Pelodiscus sinensis: one gene and its partners. The protein of the gene in region 2 purifies or fractionates together with the protein of the main gene of each other region. This does not show direct contact. Links are inferred from orthologs where the notes say so. Each region holds a gene or a part of one and is shown on either strand. Other genes may lie near its edges.

Evidence for each region.
Region 1: the proteins of DCAF7 (region 2) and SOWAHC purify together in Homo sapiens (affinity purification with mass spectrometry; 4 studies listed by BioGRID and IntAct, counting the BioPlex papers as one, with this or other methods). This does not show direct contact. The link is inferred for Pelodiscus sinensis from reciprocal best matches to the Homo sapiens genes DCAF7 and SOWAHC.
Region 3: the proteins of DCAF7 (region 2) and TROAP purify together in Homo sapiens (affinity purification with mass spectrometry; 3 studies listed by BioGRID and IntAct, counting the BioPlex papers as one, with this or other methods). This does not show direct contact. The link is inferred for Pelodiscus sinensis from reciprocal best matches to the Homo sapiens genes DCAF7 and TROAP.
Region 4: the proteins of DCAF7 (region 2) and ZNF503 purify together in Homo sapiens (affinity purification with mass spectrometry; 4 studies listed by BioGRID and IntAct, counting the BioPlex papers as one, with this or other methods). This does not show direct contact. The link is inferred for Pelodiscus sinensis from reciprocal best matches to the Homo sapiens genes DCAF7 and ZNF503.

What each region holds. Positions count from the first base shown.
Region 1 is NC_134711.1:236,120,145-236,127,822, reverse strand, and holds SOWAHC (ankyrin repeat domain-containing protein SOWAHC), read right to left. Parts: upstream 2,823-7,678; 5' UTR 2,583-2,822; coding exon 861-2,582; 3' UTR 507-860; downstream 1-506. Other genes in the region: SEPTIN10 (septin-10), read left to right, coding at 3,033-3,062.
Region 2 is NC_134739.1:6,486,815-6,494,300, reverse strand, and holds the start of DCAF7 (DDB1- and CUL4-associated factor 7), read right to left. Parts: upstream 3,008-7,486; 5' UTR 2,758-3,007; coding exon 2,620-2,757; intron 1-2,619. UniProt on the Homo sapiens protein: Involved in craniofacial development. Acts upstream of the EDN1 pathway and is required for formation of the upper jaw equivalent, the palatoquadrate. The activity required for EDN1 pathway function differs between the first and second arches.
Region 3 is NC_134729.1:4,785,627-4,793,234, reverse strand, and holds the start of TROAP (tastin), read left to right. Parts: upstream 1-4,598; 5' UTR 4,599-4,720; intron 4,721-5,833; 5' UTR 5,834-5,884; coding exon 5,885-6,115; intron 6,116-7,608. Other genes in the region: PRPH (peripherin), read left to right, coding at 75-200, 465-685, 848-897, 1,250-1,329, 1,770-1,817. UniProt on the Homo sapiens protein: Could be involved with bystin and trophinin in a cell adhesion molecule complex that mediates an initial attachment of the blastocyst to uterine epithelial cells at the time of the embryo implantation.
Region 4 is NC_134718.1:8,579,462-8,587,288, forward strand, and holds the start of ZNF503 (zinc finger protein 503), read right to left. Parts: upstream 3,006-7,827; 5' UTR 2,639-3,005; coding exon 2,336-2,638; intron 1,467-2,335; coding exon 1-1,466. UniProt on the Homo sapiens protein: May function as a transcriptional repressor.

The DNA of each region.
Region 1 (7,678 bases), on a different chromosome or scaffold from region 2:
CATCATGCTTAACTATATCCGTTGTAAGACATCCCATTGACTTGAGAATTTGAATTCTATGATTTGAATAGGTAAAGTTAAGATTGATCTTAAGTCTGAGGATTAGAGCCCAAATATCTACAAAAAATCCTGACAGTCAGCAGAGCACTTTTGACCTTTTGTACCTAATGCTACTTTGTCACGTAGTATTGCCTTTTGGAAAAAAAATACTTTAAAAATACATGAACGTATTCAAGAAATCCTGAAATAGCTGTCCATGAAGAGCAGTATGTAGTACTGGTTGATAATCTAGTATCAAAATGTAAAGTTTTAGATTCTCTCCCCAGCTGTCCATGAAGAGCAGTATGTAGTACTGGTTGATAATCTAGTATCAAAATGTAAAGTTTTAGATTCTCTCCCCACCCTTGTTTCCCTCCATCACACTTTAAAAACCAAAATAAGAGTGTACTAGGTTTCCAGACCCTGATGTCTAGCTTCTTAAAAAAAAAAAAAAAAAAAAAAAAAAAAAAAAAAAGGAGGCCCACCAATTTTACATACTCACTTCTTTACAGACCTACTACCCCATCTGTACTTGCAAGGAAACAGCTCTTAAGTATGGGAAGCCTCCATTGCTTGGCTTGAAGCAGCTATTTCCTGGAAATTGCTAAATCCCAAGAGCCCTGCAGATGTTTACTGTACACTTAATGAAATTCAGAAGTTAAACAAGATATTTAGCTTTATCTCCTGAGGAATGCATAAGTCTGGATGAGGGGCTGCCGTTCACATAGGCTTGCATGCACCTCCCCTTTTCTGTACTACATGCTCAATGGGTTCAGGAGCATGTTACACCCCTAATTAGGTGCCCTGCCTGTCTCCCCACTTTATCCAAAGACATTGGATTTGGGTCTGAGTTTGAAGGATGTTTTCAGTGACTTGTCCTCCTGCTCTTCTTCCTCAGTCTCCGCACGGAGAGAGGGGGTGGTGTGAATGATCTGGGTGCGGAATCGGATTTTGTTAAGCCGAGGTTTCATCCTACCACTATTCGAGGCTTTCCTGCTCATCTCCTTACCCTTGCCAAAGGCCGCTGCCCCCTCACCCAACTCAGTCTCCTCACCAGGCCCATGGAGGTGGTGGGAGAGTTTGTAGGCAATGAGGTTGGAGGGGAGCACCTTGGAGAGTCTCCAGCGGCCACTCCCATTATTCGTGGCACCTTCACCCCCCTCTTGGAGGGCTCCCACCAGGCTCCGCATCTCTTCCGTGGTGCTTTGGCTCAGGTACTGGGAGGCCTTTCGCCCACTGTAGTCCCTCACATCCACATCTGCATCATAGGCCCCCACAAGCAGCTTGACCACTTCCAGATGGCCATGCATGGCGGCTAGATGTAGTGCTGTGTACCCGCCACTGGTGCGGGCATTGATATTGATGGGCAGCTGGTGCTTGTGAGCAAAGTTGACAAGCATGGCAAGCAGCTCCTGGCGCCCATGCTTGGCAGCCCAGTGCAGGCAAGTGAAACCCGTGATGAAGTCCCTCTTGGAGAGCAACCCTGGTTCGCAGCTGAGCAGTCCCTCCAGGCTCTCCCACCTGCCATCTGCAGCCGACAGCATCCAGGCGTGCTCCAGGGGATCCAGCGCCACCGAGCTGCCCCCGCCGCTCTCCTCCTCAGCAGAGGAAGAGGCCAGCGAGGCGCTGTCCGAGTCCCCGCCGCGGGCTCTGGGGGCCCCGGGGAAGAAGCTGCGTTTCAGCTGGGGGGAGCTACCCATCATCAACTCGCGGAAGTTCTTGCGGCTGGACCTGGGCGTTGCGCCTCCGCCCGAGCTGCCCGGGGAGCCGGAACCGGCCTCGACTCCCTCCTCTTCAGCAAGCCGGGCCGGGGGCGCCGCCTCCTCTCCGCCGCGCCCGGGCTGCAGCCCCCGGGGCACGTTGCGCCGCGAGCTCCTCTTCCTGGCGCCGCCCGGGGGCACCTGGCCCAGCCGAGGCAAGTCGCTCCTACTCCCCGACTGGGGGGGCGGCGGCGGCGGCGGGCGGCGGGGGCCTGTCCCCTGGAGCTCCCCATCCTCCGGGCCCGGCTCTCCCGGGGCAGCGGGCGCGATCTCCTCCGACTGGCTCCCCCCGGCGCAAGGCGCGGAGTCCCGGCTCCGCGGTGCCGAGTCCACCGCCGCCGCCTCCTCCGGGGTCACCGAGATGCTGGGCAGCGGCCCCGGCGCCGCCGGGAGATGGAGCGGGGCGGCGTCCGCGATGCTGGGCAGCGGCTCGGGCCCGGGCGCCGCGGGAGGCTCGAGGGGAGCGGCGGCCTCGCTGCCGCCGGGCCGGGGGGGCTGGTGGCCGGGCGGCGGCTCCGGTCTGTCCGCATCGGGCACCCCGGCGGGCCGGTAGCGCCGCCGCAGCTGCACGTACTTGGCGCCGGAGCCGGGATCCAGGCGCACGGTGGCCACGGCGTTGACCAGCTCCTTGAAGCGCTGGCGGGCCCGGGCGCGGCGCTCGGGCTCCGGGGGGCTCAGCCAGCCCCGGAAATGCTCCAGCAGCTCCGCGTTGGGCGCCCGCCCGCCCCGCGCCGCCAGGAACCGCAGCACCGACTCCGGGCTCAGCCCCGGCTCCTCGGCCATCGCGCCCGGCGGCGCTCAGCGCAGCCCCATCGCCGCGGCGGCTCCGGGCGCTCCCCCGCCCCCCCCGCGCTACTGAGGCAGCATCTCCCGGCGTTAGCGCCGCGCGGCGGCTCAATCAGGGCGGCGGCGGCGCGCGGCCCATCCTACAGGCGGCTGGGAGGGGGGGGGGGGGCAGCGACCGTCAGCTGCCCGCTCACGTCACGTCCGAACCTGCCGCGTGCCGCGCTCACTCCCGGGCCTGGGTGCGAAGCGATGCCATCGCGCTGCGGGGAAGGGAGAAGACGCCCCCGCGAGACCCCGCCCCTCGGCGCCGCGCCCCTCCCCACCCGTGTGCCTGGCCCCGCCCCCCTCCCTGGCGGCCCCGCCCCGCTCGCGGACCCTCTGGCTGCCAGTTACATTCCAACCGCCCGGCGCTTCCCGCGCGGCGCCTCCCTCCCCGGCCCCCGCGTCATGGCTTCCTCCGAGGTCGCTCGGCAGCTGGTGAGTCCCGCCCGGGAAACTTTTTCTCGCCTCTCTCCCCCTCCGACCGCTCCCTAGAAACTTCCTCTGCCGGCGGGCCGCGCAGACCCCGGGGCGCAGCGCCTCGCGCGGGCGGGAGAGACGCGACGGCCCCGGCCGCTCCCTCCGTCCCGCCCGCCGCAGCCCCCTGCTCCCAGCCCGCTCGGGAAAGGCCCCCGAGGCAGCCTGGGGTGTGGCGGGCGCGCCCCTGCCCCGAGGCTGTGGGTGGCAGTGCGGGGGGGGGGGGAGATATCAGCCTCTTGCCGTCTGTGGTGGGTTTCAAACCGGGTCTCCAAGCCCCGTCCCCGCAGCTGGGGGAGGGGGAGGGGGCGACTCTCCTATTCAAATCAGTGTTTTGGTTTCAAAAGTCTGGGAATAGTCTACCCGGGGCTGTGACCTCAGCCGTGTCAGTCCAGTTATGAGCTAATCAGAGGATGGCAGCATTCATTGTCATGAACTGATTCATTCGCTTAACTGGGATTCCTTCCTTTTCCTTTCCCCTTAACTCCGTTCGTCTGAAGAAGTGGGCTGTGCCCACGAAAACTCATGATTTCATCCACATTTTTGTTAGTCTCTAAGGTGCGGCAAGACTATTAGTTATTTTTTATCCTTTTCCTGTGTCTCTACATTGAGGTGGGAGCTTTAAAGTAGTCATTAGCAAGTAGAGATGAGAAAACAAAATCTTATCACCATTGATTGGAATAAAACCAGGAGTTTGATTTTTTTAACTATATTTGCAACAAGGAGTCCTGTGGCACCTTAAAGACTAGTAGGTCTGTAAGATGCCACAGGACTCCTCTGTTGTTTTTGCACATAGAAAATAACACAGTTACTTTCTGAGACTTATGCTTAAGTTATAGCATCTTTCAATAGTAACTGCTTTTGCATTTGTCCATGTGATATGGAGACTGCTCACAGTAGGGTAATACTATGAGTATTTGTTAAAATATTTAATTACTTCAAAAGTATTCAAGTGGCCATATTGAATATTGTCAATTTGGGAACCATCCAGACATAGGAACCAATCTCATGTAATTCAGATTACTGATCATACATCATAAAAATCCAGTTATGGATAGCAATAATCTAATGGTTATGAACTGTAGCTCACCAACAGTGCACAGATATGTTTGAATAAAAAATTACTTTAATAACTTCTGATAAACACATTTGTTAATTTACCCCCAGTTTATAAAGGTATGAACAGAAATAGGGTATTGTGCCCTAATCCTGTACTGAACCCAGTGTAGAAGGCCCATATGCCTGCTTTCAGTTTGCAACTGTCAACTTTCTAAAATTATTACTTGAAGATCCAATTCTGAGGCTTTGTCTTGATCAGAATGTCAGTGAGGTACTGCATTTTTTTTAATCTAACAGTTTTGCTTATGTTTTTGCATACTTCAAGGAAAATGATGCCCCTCATCCTGGCAAATCCTATCAACTTTCCACTTTTTCCTTGTTCTTCAGATACATAGTTCCAATGCAAACCTTGGCCTGAATTAATTCTTATTTTTGATGTAGTGAATAATTTGATTAGTTTATGACATAAAGACAAATATTCTGTGCTGTTCCATCTCTGGTGTTGCTTTGTTCAGGTTGTACCTCCCTTAACTGGACTTCCTGGTCCAGCAACGTTCCTCAACTACAGAGCTCAGGAACAGGGAGTTCTGACGGTGGAACAGGAGTGCCCTAGGGGACACCGGCAACTCAGCCAGGAGCCCAGAGTCGGGCGGTGTGGGAGTGGGGGAGAATAGGCAGCACAACGTGAGTTCTGGCCCCAGCAGCGGTTGTGGAGATCTGGTCCTGGTTGTGGAGATCTGGTCCCAGCTGTGGACCTTTGGCTCCAATGGCCGGGGAGCTCTGGCCCCAGTTACAGAGCTCCAGCTGTGGTACTCCAGTCCCAGCAGCAGTGGTGTTGGTGTCATTTAGAGAGCCCTGGGGGGCCGAGGCAGCTGTCGCCCTAATCCAGACGCAGCATGGGCCAGGAGGGGAGGCATCTCCCCTGGTCTGGCAAATCTCCTCATTCTGGACCAGTCAGGTCTAGGGTTGTGAACAGTTAAGCAATTAGGGCTGGAGTTGCTCCCTACCCACTGGGGGAAAGGAGCTGCTCCAGCCCTGCAGCGCCCACAAGAGTAGCACTTGTCTGCAGTGGTGGGAGGGGAGCGCTCCAGCTCGGACACTGCTTCCCCGCTCACTTCCTTTTAATTGGTTAACTGACTAAACGTAAATGTTTAACTAGTTAACCAATTAAACAGGATTTTACATCCTTAGTCAGGTCCCGAGGGTGCAGGATCAACAAGATCCAACCTGTACAAAAGTGACCTCAATAACCAGCTGGGGATTTGTCTTGTGTAGGGGAATCCCTGAGTGGAGTTTAGTTGTCATTTGTGCTTTCTTGTCACATGAGGTATTTTGAAAGGTGTGTTGCAAAAGTGCTGGACACTGATGATCCTTGATTGTTGGATAGTCTCTGGGGCCATTGAAGTGACATAAGTTAGAGCAGCCTTTGGAGAATTGTATCCTGATTAGTCCTAGTGAGAGAAGTGCAAAGTCTCTTTTTCTTCACTTTCCAGACTTGCCCCTAGATCCAGTGCTGAACACTGATTCATTTTTCAAAAAGAAGTAACCAGTAGTGGGCAGCCTGCTAGCTGCATGCAGCTCACTGGGGCTCCAGCTGCAGCTCGTGGACCCCTTGGCTGCTCCCCTTTTCCACACCCCTTCTGCTCACGTGGCACTGGATCCCCAAACTTCCTCTCCTCCTTCCTCATTCCCAGCACTTTCAGAGGAGAGACTCTATCTTGCTCCTCCCCTTCCCTCCCAGGGCTGGAATGCTGCAAATCAGCTGTTCGTGGTGTTCCAGCTCTGGGAGGGAATGGGAGGAGTGGGGTCAGAGTGGAAATCAGGCAATGTGCAGGCTCTGAAAGTGTTGGGAAGGAGGGGAAGGAGCAGATAAGTGCTGGGCTCTGGTGCCTTGGTGTGCGAGAAGCGTGTGGGGAAAAGGGGGTAGGTGAGGTGCCATTGGGCCACAGGTGGAACCCTAGTGGGCCATGGTCTGCTGCCATCCACTGAGATAAAGGAAAGCTACTCATGTATTCCTGGTTGCCCATCCCTAGAAGTAACCCATTGCATTCCATTTTGTAAATATTTAATTATGCTTTAAATAAGATTTGTAGCCTTTATATCATTTAGTACAATTTATTAGCTTTATATTGTATTCTGTATAAAGCATTCTGTATATAAAGAATTGTAGAGGAAGTAATGTAAACTTGAGGACCAAAACTTCACAGACTGGACTCATAACTCTTACATAAATAGAACGGAAAAACTTCTAAAAATTAGCATAAAAGAAGAGTTGAAATTTAAAAGGTAAATATGCCACAGAGTAGTTTTGCGGGTTAACTATGTAAGAGGAGATCTGAAAAAAGCATGATCAGCAAAAATTAAATGTGAGGGGGATTTAGAGTTCATCAGTAGGTTTACAGATTTAGAGAAGCAAGACAATCCTAGATAGGACAGGACAAACAAACAACATTACACTGGAAAATAGCAGGGAGTGGAGCATTGAGAGAGGCCACATTCATGGGTAGAATTGGATTGTAGATATTATAGGTGGAGGGATGTGGAGAAAAATGTTCTAATTTCTCAAATTAACAAATAGTAGAGTTAAAGTGCTCTAGACTTACCCCATTTTTATTGGATGGGGCTGGCATTCAATCTTCACAGAAGACCACGCACGAAATCTCCAGGATAATTTAATACAGCTTCAGCAAAGGAATTATATAAATTACAAATATATAATATGAATAGAAATTAAGACTTTTTGATGGAAGCGTTTAAAGTACTGTAGCTATTCCCGAAAGAAAACAAACTAGAATAACTGAATATGAACAACACCTCCAGCAGGAATTGCTACAGTTCTTCCTTAGAATAGAAACTTGTCTTCTGTGCTGTTCAGGATAGTGGAAAAGCTTGTTCTTTAGAAGTTATTAGGATTTGAATGATACTTCGTAGTTAATTTATTAGTTTGAATATTAGGTTTTAGTTTGGTTGTAAGTATAACATACATTTTAAATAGCTGCAGTCCTGCCCCTTTCTATAAATACATGTGTGATATAGTTGAATGGTAACTAAAAACTGATGTCTTGGTAGTTCAAATATTAACATTTTGTTCAGAAAAGATATTTGCTCAACATCAGGGTTGGCTCGAGCCATTTGCGCCCCGGGCAGCGGGCGCACGACATATGTGCAGCCCCTGGGCGCGTGGAGCCTGATGGCAGCTGTAAGGGGCGCTGCGCGGCCAGCCGCACGGCGCCCTTACAGCTGCCATCAGGCACCCCCTTAGGTTGGTGCCCTGGGCAGGTGCCCGGCTAGCCCCCCCCCCCTTAATCCAGCCCTGCTCAACATAAAAATGACCATGCTGGGTCAGACCAAAGTTCCATTTGCCCCAGTATCCTGTCTTCTGATAGTGGCCAATGCTAGGTACCCCAGAGGGAATGAACAGAACACACAATCATGACGTGATCTATTCCTTGTTGCTCATTCCCAGCGTCTGGCAAAAATAAGCTAGGGACACCATTCCTGCCCATTCTGCTAATAGC
Region 2 (7,486 bases):
AAAACACTACCCAGATGTAGAGCACTGTCTCCTCCAATCCCCTCCACATAAGCTGCAGAGTCTGTTAACAGTCAGGAGTCACACCACAGAACCTTACCCATGCTCTACTAATCAACCTCACCTCAAATTTGTTATTTTAGGTGCTTTGCATACACAGTGCTAGAGCATCATGTTTTGAATAGATTGTAACCTGACAGGATGCAGATAGCTATGGGATGCAGCCACTTTTTTAATCAAATGTTTTGGATTTTATTATGATACCCATTGTTCTTTTAGCCTCTCTGTACCGTGGAAAAATGCTGACTGTCACTGCATTTTTCAGAGTGTGTTTCCCTTCTGACATATAAAACTTTAACCTTCAGATGTTTTTGAATTACTCACTACAAGGCGCTTCCAAAGAGAGTCAGTGTTTTCCTCCCAAATAACTCAATCTAGCAGAGTATAAATAGTCCCCCCCTCCCTTTTTTTTGGGGGGGGGGGGAAGGTAAGAGAGAGAAATAAAGCCGGAAAGTTTCAGGTCAAGAGAATTTTTGGAGGAAATTGCAAGCGAGAAGGTTTTTAATGGCAGTAAACTGTCATTACATTCCTTTTTTAATCTGTCACTCTGACAAAAAGCCTGGCCCCCCAAAAGACCATTAACCCCAAACTTAGTTTATTTCCCATCCTACCACCACACTACACTCTTAAAAGGGAAACATATATTTCTCTCTGCAAGTTTCCACCTGCTCTGACATCACCTAATCTACTTTATATTTGAGAGTTTGTCTTTGTGTGTGCATCTGTTCAAGAAATCCCTCCTAAATAGTAAGAGCTAGGACCATCACATTCGGGATACAGCTTCCTCTTATTATCCATAACTTAAAACACAGTAAGAATCTGGTTGGGCCTGGGACAGGATTGCTCCTCATACAACCATGAAGAGAGACAGAATCACCAGGCATGTGGCAAGGGGCTGACAGGGTTCCCCACACCCAGGACTGCCCCAATTTGTGAGGGAACATTACTGGCTGTTCCCCTTCCTCATGCAGTGGAACATTCAGTGTTTGCTACATTCCTCACTCAGGCTGCAGAGCACAGAGGACAGACAAATCTGCACCTGCTCCAGTCAGGGGACATGCTACCCTCCCTCAGCTGTGTCCCCAGAGCTGTATCCGCCATGGATTGCTGCTTCTCACCTGACCTCAAGCTGCTACAGTGATCCTCTCTCCCCAGGGCAGCCTGCATATTCAACCACTCATTTCTAGCTCTACCCCAAGGCAATGATTCAAATGAAACATGGACAGTTGCATGATATTTTCCAAAACCCAAAAGTTAATTGAGTTCAGGACTCGAGCAACACGAGGTAAATCTTTAAGTATTATAACTGAAATTCACTTTTTTCAACAGCACTCTGTAGAGTTCATTTCCTCCAGTTTGTGTGAGGTCTTTCACGGTTGATGATTTATATTGGAGGCACAAATGGCACTAGGATTGTCAATGGGAAAACCACTCATTTGTTAAAAATTAGTTACAATTATCTTATGACTCTCCACTCTCCCTTGTTCCGATGCTAACTTTTGCCATTTTACAATTGCATTTCCTTGTTTAAATCTCCTATGTGTGTGAAACTGGCACGAACAGCCTGCTGATTAAAGCTAGACATCACATTTGGATAGCACATTAGATGCGTGGGTAATAATTTAGTCAGTGTAAGATGCCACCACCTCAGCCACAGGACTGTCCCAATCTTGTTACGGTTCTCCACAAAGTTATAAGCCACACCACTCTCCTATGCCATCTCCCCTAGGAGAAAGAAAGAAGCCTGGACACTCACTGGCCCCACAGGGCAACTATACAAGGCCCTGCGCAGCGATGAAGACGCACAAGGGGCAGTGGCAAAGTCTCTCCTATGGGCTTTCCGAGGAGCACAAGGCCAGGAAGGGGGTGGGGGCTCGCAGCAACAGGCAGTGACACATTTCCACCACTCTCTTGGAAGTGCCGCACAAAGAACTCCGTGACTGGCCTACCGAGTGTGGCAGCCACCTTACCCTTAACTCCAACCCATGATCCCACACTTCCTGCCTTACCCTTAACTATACCCCTTGGCTCACAACCCCGCTCTCCTTACCCTTAACTCTGCCCCTTTTCCCACAACCCCACCTTACCCTTAACTATACCCCGTGACCCGTAACCCCGCCCTCTCCTTACCCTTAACTCTGCCCCTTTTCCCACAACCCCACCTTACCTTTAACTATACCCCATGACCTGTAACCCCACCCTCTCCTTACCCTTAACTCTGCCTCTTGGCCCTCCTTAACCTTAACTCTGCCCCTTTTCCCACAACCCCACCTTACCTTTAACTATACCCCATGACCGGTAACCCCGCCCTCTCCTTACCCTTAACTCTGCCCCTTTTCCCCACAACCCCACCTTACCCCATGACCGGTAACCCCGCCCTCTCCTTACCCTTAACTCTGCCCCTTTTCCCACAACCCCACCTTACCTTTAACTATACCCCATGACCGGTAACCCCGCCCTCTCCTTACCCTTAACTCTGCCCCTTTTCCCCACAACCCCACCTTACCCCGTGACCCGTAACCCCGCCCCCTCCTCACCCTTAACTCTGCCCCTCCCCCGCACCTTGTTGTTATACTCTTCCACGAAGCTGCCGAGCGCCAGGCGAAAGCGCTTGTCGGGCCGGACGCTCCAGTTCATGGCGTACACGGTCCATGGCGCCTCGTACTTGTAGATCTCCTTCCGCTTCCCGTGCAGCGACATGGCGGGGCCGCCGGGTTACCGGGGTGGGGGAGGGGCCGGGGGCCCGGGTGAGACGCGCGGGGGGAGGGGCTGTCCCGGGCCGAGCGGGGCCTACGGAAGCCGGGCACCGACGGGCCGAGCGGGGCTGCGGGGGGAGACCGCGGCCGGCTCCGAAAGGCGGAGACGCTCAGCGCTCGCCGCGGCGGAGACCGTTTGGGATTCGGCCCCCTCACACAACGGGAGCGGAAACCACGCGGGCTGCCCCGCCTCCTCCGCGTCCGTTGGCTGAGTCCGCCGCCACTCAGGGCATCGCGGACAGCCGCTGGGTGAGGAACCTGCCCGTCAGAGCCGTCCCTGCCTCTTATTGGCCCCTGTGCCGCTCGTTCTAAGGAGGAGCGCGCCGCCGTAATAGAATCCTCCGCTCGATCCCGCCCCCGACGGATGGGATGCTCTTTCTCAGCAGCTCATTGGCTGCGACGGGTCGCAGTGGCTTCGCTCCTTCATGAGGCGGGACCTTCTAGCACCCTGTCATTCTATTGGCTGGCCAAAGGTGTCAGTAAGGGGTGAGCTGGTGGGCAGCGGGCGGGGCTTGGGGCCCCTGTAGGGGTTAACAGAGCTCTTTGAGCTGTGTAGAGTTACAGGTTCGAATCCCAGGTCTTATAACTGGGTGGGGTATAACTACCCTGAGCAGGTCAGCTCGGCAGTGTTTAGGCTGGTAAGTTTTTCTGGAAAAAGATTTTTTTTTTTGCCTAAAAAGATTGCCAGCTGTCTACACTGGCCGCTTGAATTTCCGCAAGAACACTGACTTCCTGCTATCTGAAATCAGTGCTTCTTGTGGAAATACTATGCTGCTCCCGTGCGGGTAAAAGTCCCTTTTGTGCAAAGCTTTTGCGCAAAAGGGCCAGTGTAGACAGCTCAGATTTAACCAGAAAGGACACTCTCTAAATGACTTAGCCACCTGCATTCTGCTACAAAGACCTTTTACATCTGCACTTGAAAGGGAATCCTCTGAACTGTCATTCATGTTAAAATTCGACACTTGCCAACAAGGACTTAACAAGAATTTGAACTATCTCACCCATTACCAAGACAGTTTCCCCAATTATCACCTGTAATACCATTAACTCACAAACATCCCACTCTCCCTACCTTTAATATCAGCAATTCACAGACACTTACCTTCCTTCCTCCCCCCCCCCCCCCCGCATCACCCTTCTGTTCTGCAATGTGATTTGTCCTTTTCATATTTGTTCATTTTTTTTAATTGTATCCTTTGGTATATATGGTTGTGACTACTTTCTTCCACTATTTGATCTGAGGAAGTGGGTCTGGCCCACGAAAGCTCATCATCTAATAAACCATCTTGTTAGTCTTTAAAGTGCTACATTGTCCTGCTTTTAGCTCAGATTTGTGCAAAAAAGCCCCGATCGCGAAAATGGCCATCGGGGCTTTTTTGTGCAAAAGCGCATCCAGATTGGCACAGACGCTTTTCCGCAAAAAGTGCTTTTGCGGAAAAGCGTCCATGCCAATCTAGACGCTCTTTTCCGCAAATGCTTTTAACGGAAAACTTTTCCGTTAAAAGCATTTGTGGAAAATCATGCCAGTCTAGACGTAGCCCTCCCGTTTAGGGCCCTGAAATAAGGGCCAAGCAAGCAGTCCCTATGCTCTGCTCTTTTGGAAATTATGCTCCAGGCCAGCCCTTGCAGGTTCATTGAAAGAATTGGTGTGGCAGACTGCCACAGCTGGGCTACCCCAGGAAAGAGTGCCGTACTGTGCACAGTCAAAGGGTGCATCCCATAATGGATAGAAAAACAAATGAGGTTTCTGAAGTGTGGTGGTGATCATGTTTGCTTAAGACGCAAAAGTTCCCTCTTTCAAAACCAGGCAGAAACACAGGGTATCTGTTTTTGAACCACGTCTAGAGACAATCTGTACGGGCTCGTGCTCCACATGTTGCATTTCCTCACCCTTGTGTCCTGCACCAAGAGGCGGGACTATCCAACATCAGTTGAGGGTAAGGAACCCCAATGGGCCAGTGTTCATCCCACCTTAATCCCACAGCCCGTCAGGGACATCAGTTGGCCGCTCCTTCACCAAGCCGTGAGCATAGGTGTGTACCTGGCATGGTTCACCCCATCCCAGACGCCTGCCCTTCTGCGGCGTAAGGGAAAACCTGGCACATGCATATCTGGAATGTGCCAGGTTGCAGTCCCTATTCCGGCTCCTTTCCTTTCCCCCTTACCTTTTTATTTACGCACACCCCATCTGTGGCCCCACAAAGTCGCAAGACCTCCTCGTCAGCCTCCTCCTGGCCCTGGCGAAAGCTCATGTACAATACCAGGAGGAGGATGCTGGATGATGGGGTGCACTGCAACTGGGGGGGCCTACGTCCATTCCTCCCTGGTCTCATGCCTCTAGTCAGAATTCTTCTGGGTGGTGTCCACTGGATCCCTGGACAGCTTTGAGGAGCAGTGGATGCTGTCCAAGGTTCTCTGCTCAGTGTTCCCATCTGTTTCCCACATTTTAAACCTTTGACCTGCACCCCTTGACCCTGTTTTTCATCATTTTTCTCCCAGAATCAGTTGAGTCCTGGCTCCAGTCGTCCGTCCTGCAAGGCTGGGGGAGGGGCTTTTAGAAGTGGGTGGGCGCCCCCTGGGTTCAAATAGCAAAGTTAATATGTGTCTCCTTGCTCAGGCACTGACTCTGGGGCTGCAGATACAGGTGCCAACTTTCCACTGCTCAACTCCTGGCTCCACCTCCTCCTCCTTGTTCCTTGCCTCTCCCACATAGCCTCCTGAGGGTCATGAAACAGCTGATTGCAGGAGGAACGGGGCAGGAAGAGATGGTACTGATCGGTGGGCCAAAAGATGCTGGAGATGGGAGAGGAGGCACCTGATGGGGCCTGCTGACAAATTACTGTAGCTCTTTGGTAAACTGTGGCTCCTTCTCAGGCTCAGGTTGGCCACACCTGGCCCAGTATGATCCTCACAACCAGCCGAGGTGCAGGAAGCACCATTATGCTCATCTTGCAGAGAAGAAAACAAGCACAGATGGAGGTAAGTGACCAGGACAAACTCTTGCAGCATTCCTGACTCAGAAGTGACTTCCCTGAGGGGTTTCTGCAGTGGCCCCTGCAGGACGGATTTGGGCATGTCACTTAAATAGAGATGGGAGCCATTCACAGGCACTACACATCCACAAGGGTGAGGCCCTGGGAGACCATAGGGGTGCTGCAGCCCACTCCAGCAGAGAGACGGTTACAGAAAGCCAGGGGAGGCGTGTGCAACCTTGGCCTATTAGAGCAGGGAGCTGTCAGCTGATTACGGCCAGGCTGGGCCCTATAAAAGGCTGCCTGGGCAAAGAGGCCTATACTCTTGCTACAGCTATGGATTAGGGGGGACCTGGCTGCTTGGGAGGCTACAGAGGCTTCCTGAGACAGAGCAGGGCTGGGGAAAGGCAGGTAGAGCTGGGGAGCCCTGACCTGACACAGGGGCCTGAGGGGTACTAGGGCAGCAGCCAGGGCAGAAGGCAGCAGGTCCACATTCCCTTACCAATAATGAGTGGCTGATTCAGACTGCAGTTTGCTCCTGAGGCAGGGGCTGGTGGATCACTAAGGCTGGTGGGTCCAGGGGATTGGGGTCCCCTGAGCGGGGAGGACCCCGGAGTGCAGGGGCACTGCTGTGGTGTAGTACTTTGAGGAAGGACACTGTGGGCCAGAAGGGACATGGGGCCTGAAACAGCACAGAAGACAGGTAACGGAGAGCAAGACCCTAGTCAACAGGGGGTGCTCCTGGCTGAAAGAGCTAATTCCTGAGGAGACCCAGCAGGAGGTGCTGCGCCAGGGAGCTGACCCTGCTACAGAGACCTACAGTCTGTATCTGGTAGCCTGCATCCCACAACCATCCCTGGAACAGATCCCTCTGTTCTAGGCAGGCACCTTTTGTCCGCCGGCTCTAGTCCTTTTTCCTGGCACTGTGGATGTTGGCACTGGGTTCAACGGGTAACTGCAGCTGCTGAAAATCTCAGCAGTCACCTGCTGCAGGCTCTGCCGCACAAAGCCTAAATCAGTCTGAGACTGCAGAGCCCACAGCGAAGCATTCCCTGGAACCATGCCTGGGAAAGAGGCGTCGCTGCCCTGCTGCCACGCAGCTGCCCCCCAGGGCTATCAACCGCTAAGCTTGGCTCGTGGGTTACACACTAACATCCCTGCCTGGGGCTACAATTCATTTCAGCTCTGCGCGATCTGCCGCTGGCAGGGGCAGAGCGGCCTGTGCAGGATTTCCGGTGTGTACGGCAGGATCCTCGAGATGCTTCTCGTCCCCGAGCGATGCCAGGGAACGGAGGAATCGGGTCCAGCATCGTGTCCGTGCCAGCGCCCAGCCTCCTTTGAGGAAGGCCCAAGGAACTTGGCGGTGCTTCATTCTGGGGTACAAACTGCCCTGCTGGGCACTTATCTAAACGCATGAGCTGTGTCTAGACTGGCAAGTTTTTCCGCAAAATCATCTGCTTTTGCGGAAAAACTTGCCAGCTGTCTACACTGGCCGCTTGAATTTCCGCAAGAACACTGACAAGCTCATGTAAGATCGTCAGTGTTCTTGTGGAAATACTATGCTGCTCCCGTTCGGGCAAAAGCCCTCTTGCGCAAATCATTTGCGCAAGAGGGCCAGTGTAGACAGCTCAGTGTTGTTTTCCGCAAAAAAGCCCCGATGGCTAAAATGGCGATTGGGGCTTTTTTGCGGAAAAGCGCGTC
Region 3 (7,608 bases), on a different chromosome or scaffold from region 2:
CCCCCTGCACCTCGCTGGGGTAGCATTTGCGGGGTGCTAACACCAGCCTCTCTGCTGACCCCCTCTCCCTGCAGTTCGCTGACCTGTCGGATGCAGCCAACCGGAACCACGAGGCCCTGCGCCAGGCCAAGCAGGAGATGAACGAGTCACGGAGGCAGATCAATAGCCTGACCTGCGAGGTGGACGGGCTGAGGGGAACCGTGAGTATCATTCTCCGGGGGGAGGGGGGGAGCACCCCAGCCCTGCTCCTGGGGCAGAGTGCTCCCTAGTGAAGCACCCACCGTTGTTCCCTGCAAGCAGTTACATTGCCAGGGCCTGAGCAGGGACTCGCAGCCGAGCCGGCCTCGTGCGGCACAGCTCCCCATGGTGGGGAGCAGCTGGACCAGCATGGGTGGTAGGGGGAGCAGGGAGAGACCAGCCCCCTTTGGAGCCAGTCTGACACCTGCCCTCCCTGCTGTGGCCAGAACGAGGCGCTGCTGCGCCAGATGCGGGAGCTGGAGGACCAGTATGGGGTGGAGCTCGGCAGCTACCAGGACACGGTGGGGCGGCTGGAGCAGGAGATCCGGCACATGAAGGAGGAGATGGCGCGGCACCTGCGCGAGTACCAGGACCTGCTCAATGTCAAGATGGCGCTGGACATCGAGATTGCCACGTACCGCAAGCTGCTGGAGGGCGAGGAGAGCCGGTGGGTGCAGCGCTGGGGGCACAGCTCTCCCAGCATCTGTTGCGAGAGGGTGGGGCTGTTCCCGCCCCCCCTCCCGCCCCCCCTCCCATCCCCCCGGGGAGGGCTGGGGAGTGGAGGATAAGCAGGGTCCTACCACTCACTGTACTTTTTGACCCTCCCTAGGATCTCGATCCCCATCCACTCGCTGGCCTCCTACAGTGTGAAAACTTCAGGTAAGTGCGTGCCAGATATGGAGGGGGGGATCCCCCTGTGGGTACCTTCCCCAGGAGTCTCACCCCTCCCCGGTCAGTTGTCGTGGGCTCCCCACATCTCTCCCTAGGTACCTGGGGAGTTGCTGGCCTCTGCCATTGTGTGGGGTTGGCCTGGGAACTGACGGGTTGCGGCAGATCCATATGGCCAGCAGTACAGCCCATTGGGGGATCTTCCCTGGGGGACCCCTGCTGTGACCAGAGTCTATTGTCCTGGGGCACACCCACCCCAGGGCATGGAGGCCTCACCTGGGGATTGGGGGTTCAGTGGCTGCAGCCACTTCCCTTCTCATGGCCTTCCTGTACCCCCTGCTAGCACCTGAGCCGGAGCAGACTGTGGAGAGCCACACCAGGAAAACCGTTCTGATCAAAACCATTGAGACCCGGGATGGAGAGGTGAGTTTCCTCCCTGCCCCCCCTTGGGACATGGGGGTGAGGAGAAGAGAAGAACAGGGAGTAGTCAGCCTGGAGTGTGCCAAGCCTAGGGTAGCGGGGGCTTGGGGGAGAAGCTCAGGGCATGCCTAGGCCTGTGAAGGTTCCCGGGGCGTCCAGCTGTCATTCAGACCCAGCATTACAGGAGCATGCAGAGAAAGTGATGTCTAGCAGTTGGCGCTGGGAGGCAGGACTCCTGGGTTCCGTACAAAGCTATGGGGGAACATGGGTTAGTGGCTAGAGCGGGGTTCTGCTCCTACCCCTGCCCCTCTGTGCTGGGCAGCAGGCTCAGGGGCTTGTGGGCAGGCCTCCAAGATCCTCCATGGCAGGGAATGTAGCCAGGCATGGGCTGAATGGGATCTAACCGTGGGCTCTCTGTTCCATCCTGCCCCCCGCCCCGCTAGGTAGTGACTGAGTCAAGTACGGAGCAGAGCACTGATGTGGAGAAGTGATCCTGGTGCTGGGCCGCTGCCCTGGACCGAGGCGACAGTGTGAAACTGACTTGTAGAAGCCACTGCGAGACCCCTGCTGCACCTGCCCTCCCCCCAGCCACACTGGCCTTATTACTACAGATACCTCTGACAGCTCTGCTGCACTGCCCCGTGCCTCCAGCCCGCCTACCCTCGTGGTGTGCCCAGAGCACCGAGAGCACAGCAATACCCACTCACAGCCCAGGGCAAGGAGGAGAGGGGCCCTGCCTCCAGCTCTCCCCATCCCTCTGCCCTCTCACTGCATGCTGTTTCCCCGATCTCTCCCCCATCCTGTGCTTTTGGCTCTGGGCTGGTTTTTCCTTCCCTGCTCTACCGTTGGGCGTGACTGACCTTCCCAGACTACGTGTACTGAGCCACAGGGCTGTGGTTAAACAGAGTAGGATCCTACACCCCCTCCAGCTACAGCCTAGGCCATGCGCTGCCTATACAGATCCCAAGACCACTCCCACGTCCCTAGAGCAACTGCTGTGAGCATTCCGCAGAACCGGTCCTCCTCCGTCCCATCATGTTTCCAGCCCCAAGGCAGAGGCTGCCTGAGTTTGGTACCAAAGAGGAGTCTGCTCCTGAATTGGACTCCACAGAGGAGTTGTCCTCGTTCCACTACCAAAGCAGGATGCTGGCCCCTGGCAGCTGTGCCTCGGGCTGCTGCCCAGCAGTGCTCCTAGTAGCAGAGATGCCTGTTGGAGTGGTGATACCAAGATCTGACTGCAATTCTGTGTTGGCTGGTCTCCAGCCCAAACACAGCCGGGCCCCCTGATTCCCAAAGCTCTGTTTTAGTACAGAAGAAACGAATTGCAGGGACTGCTCAGCAGGGCTGGATTCCTACCCCTGGCACTTGCAGCCTGGATTCCTGCTCCCTGGGTACAATCCCAGTATGCCTGGCAGATGGGGAAGCTGTTCCTAGTCCCAGTGCTGCTGTCTCTAGTGTTAATTCTCCTGGATGCTGCAGCATATCCTGTTCTGGCATTGCCTAGAGCTGCCATCAGCTCTAGACAACAGGGCTGAGTGAGCCTGGGGATGAAGGGGGTGAGTAATACCTAGGCCCAGTTGCTGAGGGTGAAGGCCCTTGTGCCCAGGGTACTAGTCTAATAGTGACAGCCCAGTCCTGTCCTGGAGTGTCTCTCCCTAAGGAGGCCTGCTGTGGTGCTGAGTCTCCATTCTCATTTTGATAGGGATCCCCGCCTGTCCATTAGCACTTGTGTTGCTTTGATTTTTGGACACATGCTTAGTTGTCAGGGCCTGAGAGGGAAAGAGTTTCTTCTGGGGCCTTTCAACCCTGGCTCCACTGCTGGAACAGATGTGTGGAATGATGTTTCCTGCTGCTATCCCAGCTCAGGGGAGAGTCCTGAGCCCCATACTGGCTGCTGATACTCAGCCCTGCTTCTAAGCAGGCAAGTCCTAAAAGACTGTGCTCCACTATCATTCCCACATTTCTGTCCTCTGGCCGCCTTCCCTCCACGCAGTGCCTCTGACTTTCAGACCCACTTTCCTTGCCTTAGCTCTGCCTTCGTTAACCAGGGGGCTGCGATAGGATCTCTCACCCTGCTGGACCAAGACACACGGGAGGCTGTGAGCATAGTTGCTTTGGTGCTCCTGGGTCTTCCCTGATCTGCCTGAATGGTGACACTGGCCCAGTGCTCGGCCATGGTGTTGAATGTGTCCTGTCCTGCTTTTCCAGCCACTAAAGGTCATAGCGAGGAATGTGCGTGTCTGCTTCTCATCTATGCCTCCTTATCCCACCGTCTGAGATCTCCACCTTCCAGTGGCTGAGTGTGGTGGGAGGGCAGGGGAAGAGACCTCAAATTCGACCCTCATTGGCAGTGCCAACCAGAGGGCTGAGCTGTCGGCTCTTAGCCTTAGTGGACAAGGGGGGCTATCCAAATTAACCTCACTCTGCTTGGACCTAGCAAACCTCCCACTGGGAGGCGGCCAGCCGCCCTGCTTGTCCCTTCGAAAAGGTGCTGGGGGTAATGGGTGAGGGGGAGCTTGTCCAGGCTGTGCCTGTAAGGGTGGGAAGAGGTTGGCTTCAGACTAGGCCCCCCAAACTGCTGCCTACATGCGCACGAGTGCCTGTTTGCCCCTTCCGCTCTGCTCTCGTCCTGGGCCAGCTCCCCACTTCCGGGGAGGAAGGCGTCCAGGCGGGTGGAGCTGTAACCCTGCAGCCCAGGGAGGCGGGAACACAGGGAGTTGTGGACACAGCAGCGCCGTGGGGCTGAGTAAAGTGATGCCTGGGTGGCAAGACCTTGGACCACGGCATGACGTGGCACCGTGGCACGTGGCTGCTGTCTGACGTGGCACCGTGGCACGTGGCTGCTGTCTGACGTGGTACCCTAGGGGGAGCCCTCGCAGGGGGGGGCACCTGTGGCTGACTCCAGCTGGTGAGGGGGGGGCATGATCCAGGGCCCTCAGGGGAGGGGCTGAATTTCCCCAGCTTAGCTCCTGTCTTCAGCCCCCCCACCCTCGGAGGACTCCCCCCTCCCCCCCCCCAGCCCATGAGCCCACCGCTCTACCCATGCACGTCTCTATGGTCTAGCCTCACCCCCCCCCCCCATAACTCCCTTCAGCTCAGATCTCGCGAGACATCAACTTCAGCTGGGCGAGTGCGCCCCGCCTCCCCCGCGCCTGATAGGGCAACACGGGCGATGACAGGCAGCGGCTTTGGACAGCGCCGACCAATCCGTCCCCGCAGCTCCGGCTGTCGCCCGGGCCCCGCCTCCCTTGCTCCCGATTGGCTCTCTCTCCGCCGACTCCGCCTCCAGCTGGAGGAAGGTGGCCAATCAGCTCCCTTGGTGTTTTACAAACCGGCGGCGACCCGCAGAGCGGCTTTACCCGGCCCCGAGCGGAGCGGATGCGACTGAGCCCAGGTGGGGGCGGGCGAGCTTATGAATGGGGGAGCGCGAGGGTATCCGAGGGGTCCCTGGCTGGGGGGGGCCGGGGGGCGCAGAGGGGGTGCTCCTATGGGTGATGGGCTAGGATTTTGGGGGGGCTTGATGGGGTGCGCACCCCGGGGAGGGTGTGTGGGTGTAGGGGGGGCCCCGGGGGGTGCTCCTATGGGTGATGGGCTAGGATTTTGGGGGGATGGTGGGGCACGCACCCCGGGGAGGATGTGTGGGTGTAGGGGGGGACCCCGGGGGGGTGCTCCTATGGGTGATGGGCTAGGATTTGGGGGGGGCTTGATGGGGTGCGCACCCCGGGGAGGGTGTGTGGGTGTAGGGGGGGACCCCGGGGGGGTGCTCCTATGGGTGATGGGCTAGGATTTGGGGGGGGCTTGATGGGGTGCGCACCCCGGGGAGGATGTGTGGGTGTAGGGGAGGCTCCGGGGGGGGGTGCTCCTATGGGTGATGGGCTAGGATTTTGGGGGGATGGTGGGGCACGCACCCCGGGGAGGATGTGTGGGTGTTGGTGAGTCTGTAGGGGTTGGGGGGCCCCTGTGGGGCGGGGTGCTGCTGAGCTCCCTGACAGCCCTGGGGTTGGGTGTGTCTCCAGGCTGTGGCTCATCAGGTGGGTCCCTGGGGCCCAGTGGAGGGGGGGGGTGCTGAAAAGGCTGTGGGCAGTCATGGGCAGTACAGAGCGGGCTGGGGGGCGGCGGAGATCGCGAGGGGGTGCAGACTCCAGGACCTTGTTGGCCTTGCTCCTTGGGGAGTGGGGGAGTCTCCCCTAGGGGCTGTGGCGTTAAATGCCAGGGAGAGAGCCAGGGACTGATGCCGAACCTTCACTACTGTCGCTCCCTGGCTGGCCCAGCGATCCGGGCTCTGTGCTGCAGTGTTAAATGCAGGCTCCTTGCTTTGGGCTGTAGCCAGTCCCCCAGCCAGCTCCGGAGGGACTCCGCGCTGGTTATTGCTGCCAGCCTAGCTCTAGCCACGGGGCCTGACTTGAAGAACCTGCGAAGGGGTCTCCTCTGGCCTGGTGGGGAGGTGGTGATGCACTCTGGTTGCATTGCAAGGCCGTTCATCTCCTGGGAGCATCTCTTTCTCCAGGTGCAAATGCCAGGAAAGGTGCTGCAGTGCTGAGTGGTGCAGCTGTCAGAAATGGCGCAGATTGGGAAGGGTCCAGAAGCGGTTTCCTTTGCCCGCCCACCACGGGGCAAGTGGACAGGCAGCTGTTCCCCCGCCAGGAGCGGACCACAGCCAGGGAAGGAGAATGAACCATCTGCCTGGGATGGGTCAGGTGCACAGAGCTGCAGCAAGATCCCTGTCCTAGCCAAAAGCCGCCTGCCCCCAGACTTCCAGCAACTGCACCAGACCTGGGAGAGCCAGAAGGTGAATGGCGGGTGAGGGGGAAGGTTTGGAGCCCTACCGTAGACCAGCCGCAGAGCATAAGTTGTTGGCTCTCCCTATGCTTGGGGGATAGCATCAAGGGAAAACACCTAGGCTGTGTCTACACTGGGACACTTATTCCGGAAAAGCAGCCGCTTTTCCGGAATAAGCTGCGAGCTGTCTATACTGGCCCCTTGAATTTCCAGAAAAGCAGTGACGATTTACTGTAAGAAATCAGCTGCTTTTCCGGAAAAACTATGCTGCTCCCGCTCGGGCAAAAGTCCTTTTTCCGGTAGACAGCACAGTAGTCTTTTCCGCAAAAAAGCCCCAATCGCGAAAATGACGATCGGGGCTTTTTTCCAGAAAAGCGCGTCTACATTGGCCACGGATGCTTTTCCGGAAAAAGGGCTTTTCCGGAAAAGCATCCTGCCAATGTAGACGCTCTTTTTCCGGAAATACTTATAATGGAAAACTGTTCCGTTTTAAGCATTTCCGGAAAAAGGTGCCAGTGTAGACACAGACTTAGGGCGTGGTTGAGATACCGCAGGGGCCTCTCCGCCAGGCTGGCAAATGAGGATCTAGGCTTCAGGCACACTTATCCTGCTTGGGGGTGGGAGCTGGTACCCTCTTCTCTCTTGCAACATGCTGGCTTCCCAAACCGGGTTCTGGTGCCTCCTTACCACCACTGAGTCACAGACCCCCTCTTAACTGGGGCAGACCAAACTCTGGTGCCAGGGAAGGGCAGAGTGAAGTGTTAACTGTCCAGCACATTAGCTGTTGATCAGAGCTTAAAATGCCCCTTGGGGCACTTGTTAGCAGAGAATCCAACTGGTGCACCTGAGTCTGGCTGGTCCTGTGTTCTTTGTGATGTCCCCTCTTTGGATCATTGTGTTTTGGCTGTGATCCTCTGGCAGAGATGAGACCAATCAGCTTTCAGGGTGTTCCAAGCCCCTCCTCTTCTCCCTCTTGCTGGGGTGCTGGGCTCCATGGCACAAAATAGCCCACATTTGTTGTGCTGCAGCTTTGAGTGATTTTTTCCCTGTTGCCCTGACAGCCTCAGGGCTATGGATGGTCTGGTGGAGTGCTCCGAGTGTCAGAGAGATGGGTCTACAATCTGTGTTGAAATGAACAGGGTGTTGTGTGGAGAGGAGGGAGGGAGGCAAACCCCTGGGGTCTGTACTTGGCTTTAGGACAGAGAGCGTGGTGTTCAGGGCAGGCACTGGGAATCCGGCCTCCTGGGTTCCATTCCCACCTCAGTGACTCTGTGATGTCAGGCAAGTTGCTTCCTTTCTAAGTGCCTCAGTTTCCCCCTTCCCCATAGGGATGTGCCTCTTCCTACTTATGCTTGTGGCAGCAGGTAAAGCCCAGGCCGGCTCGCCACACTGCCAAGAACGGGCCACCACATCCAAGCTGGTGGCTGCCGGGCAGTGAAAGGCTCCAGCAGCTCCTCTGCGCATGTGGGAGGCACCACTTGGGTGGGTAGAGCCATGTAGGGG
Region 4 (7,827 bases), on a different chromosome or scaffold from region 2:
TACAGTGCGTAGGGGGAATAGTAAGGTCCCGTGGCGGCGGGGACGGGCACTGGGGCGCCCGGGGTGGGCAAAGGACTCTTGGAGTAAGGGTGGTAGCGGCTGCTGAGTCCCAAGGCGTGGTGCGGGCTGCGGAGGGCCAGCGTGCCGGGGCTGCCCGGCGCCCCGCTGGTGGGGATGTGCATGTGGCAGGCCATGGCCGCGGCGGCGGCGCTGGCCAGCGAGGAGGAGCTGGGGTAGCCGGAGAGGAGTTTATCGGTGCCCGGGAAGGCCGTGTGGGTCCGCAAGTGGCTCAGCAGCTCCTCGGAGGTGGCAAAGCGCTTGTCGCAGGGTCCGTTGGCCGACACCCAGTTGCAGATGTGGGGCTGGGGGTCGTTGGGGAGCATGAAGCCGTAGGGGTAGAGGGGGTGGCCGGCCAGCGAGGGCGGGGTGGCGCCGGCCAGCGAGGAGTGGACGCTGTGCAGCGGGTGCGTGGGGTAGACCAGCGGGTAGCCGGACTTGAGCGCCGGGTCGTGGGCGCAGGAGGCGCTGGCGGCGCCGGCCAGGTGGCTGGCGCAGTGGTAGCTCAGGCAGTAGGGATCGCGGCACAGGCTGGCCGTCATGACGGAGGGCGGCGAGGCGCCGGCCAGCGGGCTGGAGCCGGCCGGCTTGCTGCAGCCCAGGCTGCCGGCGGCGGCCAGCTGCGCCCCGACCAGGCTGCCGGACTTGGTGGGGTCCAGCGCCACGCCGTGCGGCAGGAACTGCGGCGGGTAGCCGGCGTAGGCGCCCGCCAGCGCGCCCGGGTAGCTCATGCCCGCCGGCGGCAGCGGGAAGACCGTCTGGCCCGGCTTGTAGGGCGACACGGGGGCCACCAGGCCGGAGCCCAGCACCGAGGCGGACGAGGTGGCGGGGCCGCTGCTGCTGCAAGAGACCGAGTCCGCGGCCTTGGCGCCCGGCGCGCCCTCGGGGTGCGGCCCGCCCTCCGCGTTAATCCCGCCACAGCTGACGCTAATCCGGCTGTGGCCCAGGCTGGCGCCGCCCGGCCCCCCGTCCGCGCCGCCGCTGCCCGCCTTGCCGCAGCCCTCCGCGTCCTTCTTCTCCTCCCCCGCCGCCTTGGCCTCGGCCGGCAGCAGCCCCGGCGAGCAGGCGGAGGCGCTGGAGCTGGGGCTGCCTGTCCTGGGCGTGAACGGCTGGCAGGTGGCGCTCGGCACCCGGAATCCCGACTTCTCCCCGCCCGCGCCCCCGCCGGCGGCGCCGCCCGCCGGGCCCGGCTCCTTCTTCTCGGCGCCCGGCTTGGAGTAGGGCTTGAAGCTCGACTTGTCCTCCACGCCGATGTCGCTGAGCTTCAAGGGGCCCGCCTTGGCCTCCTTGTCCCCCGACGCGCCGCTGGCGGTGACCGAGGAGAGCTTGGAGGAGGGCGAGGGGTCGGGCTTGCCGATCTGCGAGCAGGTCTGCGCCAGCAGGGCCAGGGGGCTCTTCTTGGCGTCCAGCTGCGGGGGAGCAAGAGGGACACACAAAGGCAAACGGGTCAGCATCGGGGGGGCTCGCAGCACACACGGGAGCCGGCCGCGGCCGACTCGTCCTGCACAGGGCGGCCTGAAAAGGGGGCCACGATTTTGTGCGCATCCATCATCCTGACAGCTCCCCCCCCCCCCCTCCACCACCCCCATGCACCATTTTCCACAATGGTTTAAAAAGGCAACGGTGTCTTCTACCGGGGGGCTCTGCAAAGTTCAGGTTTTCCTCTGGCCGCTTGGCTCTGCCTCGTCCCCACCGCACGCGCGTCCCCGAAAGGGAGCGACTGCACCATTTCTAGCTGGCCGCGCTGTTTCCCAGCCGCTCCGGAGTCAGCGGGCGCGCCAGGCTGCGGGAAGGTCCGGCGCTTCCCGAGGGAGCAGACTTTCCCAGGAAAACATCCCTTCGCCCACCCCTCCTTCGGAGTGGGAGTCCCTACAAACATCCCAAGGCGGAGAAACTGGACTCGGACCCCCCCCTCCCATACCCCATCGCAAGTGGGGTGTCATCCTAAGTCAGGCTAAGATCATGGGAAGCTGGGAGCAGCCGCACCCACATCCCCTCCCCAAATCAAGCCTATTTCGCGCCTGGGGGGCCCTAAATCCAGCCCTCAAGTTGAAGCCCCCCGAAAAAAATAGGGGTGTAAAGCAACGCACAAACTTTCCCTGAAAAAAATGACAGCCCCTCCCCCAGCCCAAAAAGCAGGGAGGGAGGTCCGGCTGGATCCGCCTTGAACTGAGCAGAAGGGCCGGGGAGACTGCCCTTTAGTGACCGTGGGGAGAGAGAGACCGTCGTCGGGGGCGGGGGGGGGGGGGAGAATCAGGCATCGCCTGCGGCTCCTTACCTCGATGGGGCTCACGGGGGTGGAAGGCAGAGGCTGCAGGTACTCGGGGTGCAAAATGTGTCCCGTCCGAGCCGTGAGCATTTTCAGGACTTTGATGGGCAGCCGCTTGGCTTGGCGCAAGGGGTCCGAGGGCGGGACGGGGTGGAAGAAAGGCTTGGAGCAGCTCGTAGTATTCCCAGCGTGCCGGTTCGGCCAGGCGAGATCTGGGGCGCTGCTGCTGCTGCCTCCGCCGACGCCAAAGTCTCCGCTGCCGCCGCTGAGCTTCCTACTTCTTACCGCAGAAAGCGAGGGCGATGTGATCATGACCCAAAACCTCGCATGAAAACTGGGGCGAGTCGCGCGGGGCAGCCTCGGAAACCTTCTCTCTTTGGGAAGGGGGGGGGGAGCCACACACGCCCCCCAACCAGCAAACTCGCCCCAACACACCGAGGCAGAAAACGTCTCTGGCGGAGGCGGGGGGAACCCGGCGAGAAGGGGGGGAGAAGCACAATAATCCCGGGGTGGGGGTGCGTGCGTCTCGCTGGCTCCCCAGCTGCTGCGTTCGCCGCCCTCCTCTGCCGCCGCTCAGCTGTGCTGCTGTCGCTGCGCGTCCAGCCCCGGCTCTGGCAAAGCAACTCACTTCAAAAGCAGCGGAATTAGGCTGAGATTAAAGCCTTTGCCGCCTTCCAATCAAATGGGACCCCGAGGTGATTGGAGGGTCAAGGGGATGTGACGTTCCCCGGGCTGGCGCTTGGTTTTTTTTTTTTCCTCCCCCCCTCCCCCTTCCCTACGGTTTTCATGGGCTCTCCCCTCCCCTTCTGGTTTTTTGCTCCTAGGACTGGCTGGGCGTTAATTTTGTGTTTCACATCCCCATGCTCCTCGCTCTCCGCAGCCCCTTCGACCGGGACGTGCAAAAAAAAGCAAGGACGAAGCCAGCGCCTATTTAAGACGCGCTCGCCCTTACGAGCCGCAGCACAGGCTCTGACCGCCTTTCGCGAGTGCACTGATACAGCGTTTTCCGCTTAAGCCTGCAGCCACCCAGGCCGTCATGTTGCGGCTGTTGCTTTATGCCCCCCTCCCCCAGGGTGATTTCAGCCTTGGCACGTTTTGTAATCTTGCCCCAGTAAACCGAGGACTAGTGCGGAGCGGGTTGGGTTATGTCCTGCCTGGCCCTGGAGGAAAAGGCGGCGTAGGCAGCAATTTTTCTCCCTACTGCTTCATATTTGCAAAGTGGTTCTGGACGTGAAACTTGGTAGAGTCCGCCCTCCCCCTGGAAGCGCTCCAATCAGGCCTTTGATGACACTGGGAACCCAAGGCAGAGATTGGGGGATGTGACTGTCACATGTTCCCAGGGCTGCACCCGCCGCCCTCCTCCCCTCGCTTTTTTGGGTCTCTCCGCCCCTCCATCAATTGTCAATGCTCCCCAACCGCAATCAATCAGTTATTTGTCAGCCCCTGTCAATCCGCCCTTGATTTATGTCAGCTTTTGTTGCTGATTACAAGCCTGGTGTGACTTGAAGGAAGAAAGGGGGGGGGGGGGGAGAGGAGGGGAAAACGAAGGAGGAGAGAGACGGGCTTCTTTGAGAAAGAGCCATTCAATGTAAGGAATAAATCGTTCCCCGAGTAAACTCAATTTGTATGCCCACAAAAGGGAGAGTGACTTCTCCGAGACGCCACCGTATCTACCTTGGCGGAGCCGCTGTAATTAACGAGGGTGGCTCTGCTGGGTGTATGTTTGTGTGTATGTGTGTGTGCAAGCCCCCTTGTCGCCTGCCTGGGTTATTAAACAGCTTCTTGGGCTCCTGAGGAGGAGGATGGGGTGGTTGGAGTGGGGGGGGGGGGGAGAAGAGGACGGAGGGATGAGTAGGGCGAAGAAGACGGACCTACCCACGGCTGGGCTTTTTTTCCCCCCGGCTGCCTGTCATTCAAGCGCTTGGCACGGCGGAATGTTTAGAGGAGAATTAAGATTGACACGTGGAGCTGCCGCGGAATGTCACTACAGGCTCGGCCAGGCTGGGGCCCCAGTTACGGAGTTTTCGCTTTAGATAGCAGCCTCTTGACTCGCCATTTGTAGCTCCGCTAACCTGGACCTGGAGCTGCCCACGTGTCTGTTTGCCTGGAATCTACCGACCGACCGACCCACCTACCTGTGTGTGCAGCACGCCCATGTATGCACACAGTTTCTGGTATGCACACACGCACCTGTCTCCTCAGCCCTTCTTTAAAGATGTCACCATTATTTGTTCAGGAGAAATGCCCCCGGGGGTAGGTCATAGGCTAGCAGAGTTTTGGTTCGACTTCGCCCTTCTTTTTGGTGCTCTGGGTTGGCTTTAAAAAACACCACCACAAAAATCCTTCAGCTTCTCTCCTCAGTCTCCAACCCTCTTCCTCCAACTCATTTTTTTTTTTTTTTTTTTTTTGCACAGGCAAAATGTGTTAATCAATGTCTTACTTTTGTATCCGGATCTGACATGGGGGCCCACGCCATCTCCAACATGTACAAAAAGGCACTTCGGGAGATACGACGCGTTTGACAAGCGAAGGACAAGCCAACTGCTTGAGAGATCGCGTCCAATTCCTGACCTGGACTCCAGCTAGAGCGGGGCCTGATCCTGGAAAAGGGACGGGGAACCGGAAAGAACTCTCTGCTGTGTGCGTGGTTGCGTCTGCTGGATGTTTGAAACCCAGTCCCCGCTCCCCAGAATAGTGTCAGTTCGTGCTCTTAGATTAGTAGCTACAGTTGGCATTTTCTCCCAGGTCTTTTTCCCTTTAAACCAGTCCCTTTCCAATTCGGAAGTCACAGAAATATATGGCAGGTCTCTGTTAAAAGCCAGCTTTGCCGTTGAAAAGCCAGCCGTCCTTTGGAGATAGAGAGGTGTGTGTGTGTGTGTGTGTGTGTGTGTGTGTGTGTGTGTGTGTGTGTGTGTGTGTGTGTGTGTGTGTGTGTGTATACTAAGAGTTGAAAGGGGGAAAGGGCCCATTTGTTCGTGCATCCCCCCGGGCAGATGTTAAAATAAACGGGGTCATTTTATGCGAGGGCGAAAACTGGAGGGCAAAGCGAAGGAAGACTTGCCCCAGAAATTGACCTTCCAGCAAGACTCACAAGACTCACAACTTCACTGTAAGGTCTCTCCTCCCCCCCCCACGTAGAGTGGAAATGACTTAAATCTGCCCCGGGTTTTCCCCCCGGTTCTTTCTTTTGTTGTCAAGTCCATTTGATAAATGGCGTGCAGTAAAACTCTGGAATAAAAAAAAAGCTGAAACCTTCATTTGTGTTCATTTGCATTAAAGTGCTTGGAACAGCTGTTTTCCTTACAGGACCAGAGAGACTCCTATCTGTTTTCTCGTTGTATTTGTCCTGCCTCCCAGGGTGAAAGACTAAAGATTAATTGTCTTAAGGTAGAGTCAGTGGTGGGAAGGCTTTTTGGGGCGGAGGTGGGGGGTAGAGGAAGGCCCGGGAGGGGCCTCTTACAACGTTTAAACCGAGGAATCAAAGGTGATAACCCGGTACATGTGTAAAACAAGCGGCGTATTGATGACACGGAAAGAGGGGAAAGTTTACAAGCGAGGGGGAGAAAAAAACCCTTAATCTCAAACAGAAGCTACAGCAGGTAGTTTAATTAGCAACTTCAGAAGACAGCACGTTTAGCGCTGTGCCTTTGATGCGCAGTGTAAATCACATTTACACGTGCAAGTTTCCGGTGCTTTTTTTTTTTTTTTAAGTAGAAGCTTATAAAAAATCTATCTCGGGAACCCTCCTGAACCATTTTCCTAGCCTTGATGAACCATTTACGCTGCTCAGAACGCACGGCGCACAGTTAAAAGATGAGCGTTCTAGGAGCGTTCTTAGACGCGCAAATGTATGAGAATCGTGCCTGCTTTTGGCGTGGCGTTCTTGTTTGTTTTAATGCATCAGGAAAGATAGTTTCTACCCTGCCTCGCTCTCTCTGCCTGGGCTCCGTGTTTAATGATCCTATGAAGCCGGGTTTCCGTTTGGCATTTACGGGTTGAAATGGTGGTGGATTTGTTATAAAGCTCCACTTCAAAACAAAACTAAGATCTGGAGCAAGGAGAGAATTAATTAACGCGCGCCGATCCCCACTTTCCTTTACCTACCAGCGATTGGCAAGGATGTCAAGTCGATTTTATTTGCACACAATGGGAATGATTTATTTTCTCTTAAAAGGGAGTGGGCTGGCAAGATATTTGAGGAGGAGAAGGGAGCGAGAGAAAAGTTTGAAAATGCCTTGAACTATTCACTGTCGAGATGGCTAATCAGTATTGAGGCTCGCGGGCACTCGGGCAGCTTTTCAATGCGGTTTGCCTTTCATCTCAAGCTGGATGGAGGCGCTCAATTAAAAGCCTATCAGTTTGTAAGTAAATCAACGCCTATCAAAGTTGTCACATCAAACAAAACGATTATTATTGCAGCCCGCCTCCCCTATTAATCTCCCTCTAAAATAATCCGCTTGACAGGTCAGGCTGGTGAGCTGCAAACCCTGGTCAGGATCATCCAAAAATCCCGGACTCTTTCCCCTCGGGAAAGGCCGGAGCAAAAAAATCACCGCATCACATTGCCTGCTTGGGAATCTGGCTCTTTCTCTTGGCATTTCAGTGCCACAGTGTGTAGCTCGTGTTGCGAAAGGACGTTTGGTCTTTTAAACTGGACAACCAGCACTCACCAGGCCTCTAATTATTTTTTAAAAAAACACCCACAGTTCTTTGCTTTTTTAGTGAGACCTCCCTCCCCCAAAAAGTGAGTTGACTGGTTTGTGTGGCCGACTCGAATATATTTCCCCTATTTGTCTCTTTCACGGCTTAATTTGTATTTTGCCTCCCTTCACCCACGCAAGGGAGTTCTAAAAAGATTTGCCTTGCCACAAATAGTCGTAAGGGAGGCATTTTTGCGGATTTGTTTGACTGCAAACACGATGACTAAGAAATACGGTCCATCAGAAATACTGCGTGTGCATTTTTGGAGAAAGAAAAACTTTTTTTTTTAAATAAGAGACTGGGGGATGTGTTCACACTGAAATTGATCTATCTGCACCGGTACCCCGCCGTAGGGCGGAGGAGAGGATGGGGGGGGGGGCAATTATTTTCAATGCTGCCCGTGTTAATAAAAGAACATATTTTGAATGCTTGCCAGCCGCGGATTAGATTTCTAAACCTAGCCTCTGTTTGTATTGGCTAATTCTACAAAAATATGTAATATCAGGGTGGTAAGTGCCTTCTTAAAATATATAAGCAAGACCTATCTGAATGCATTCTTTGCCTCTTCTGCAGGAAATACAATTATATGTTCTTATGAATAGTGGTCATTTTTGAGCCATCTGCAAGATAATAGTCGTGTTTAACCTAATATGCGCTTCAATTGTCAGTGATCTGTTGAACCAACTAGCAGGAATGTACATGTTTGCCATTGTTTTGGATAACATGCATGTTCCTAAAATGTTTCCTACAGTGAGTTGTCAGGCCCCTTCCCCGTTAGTATGCTAGGAGAGAAAAGAGAA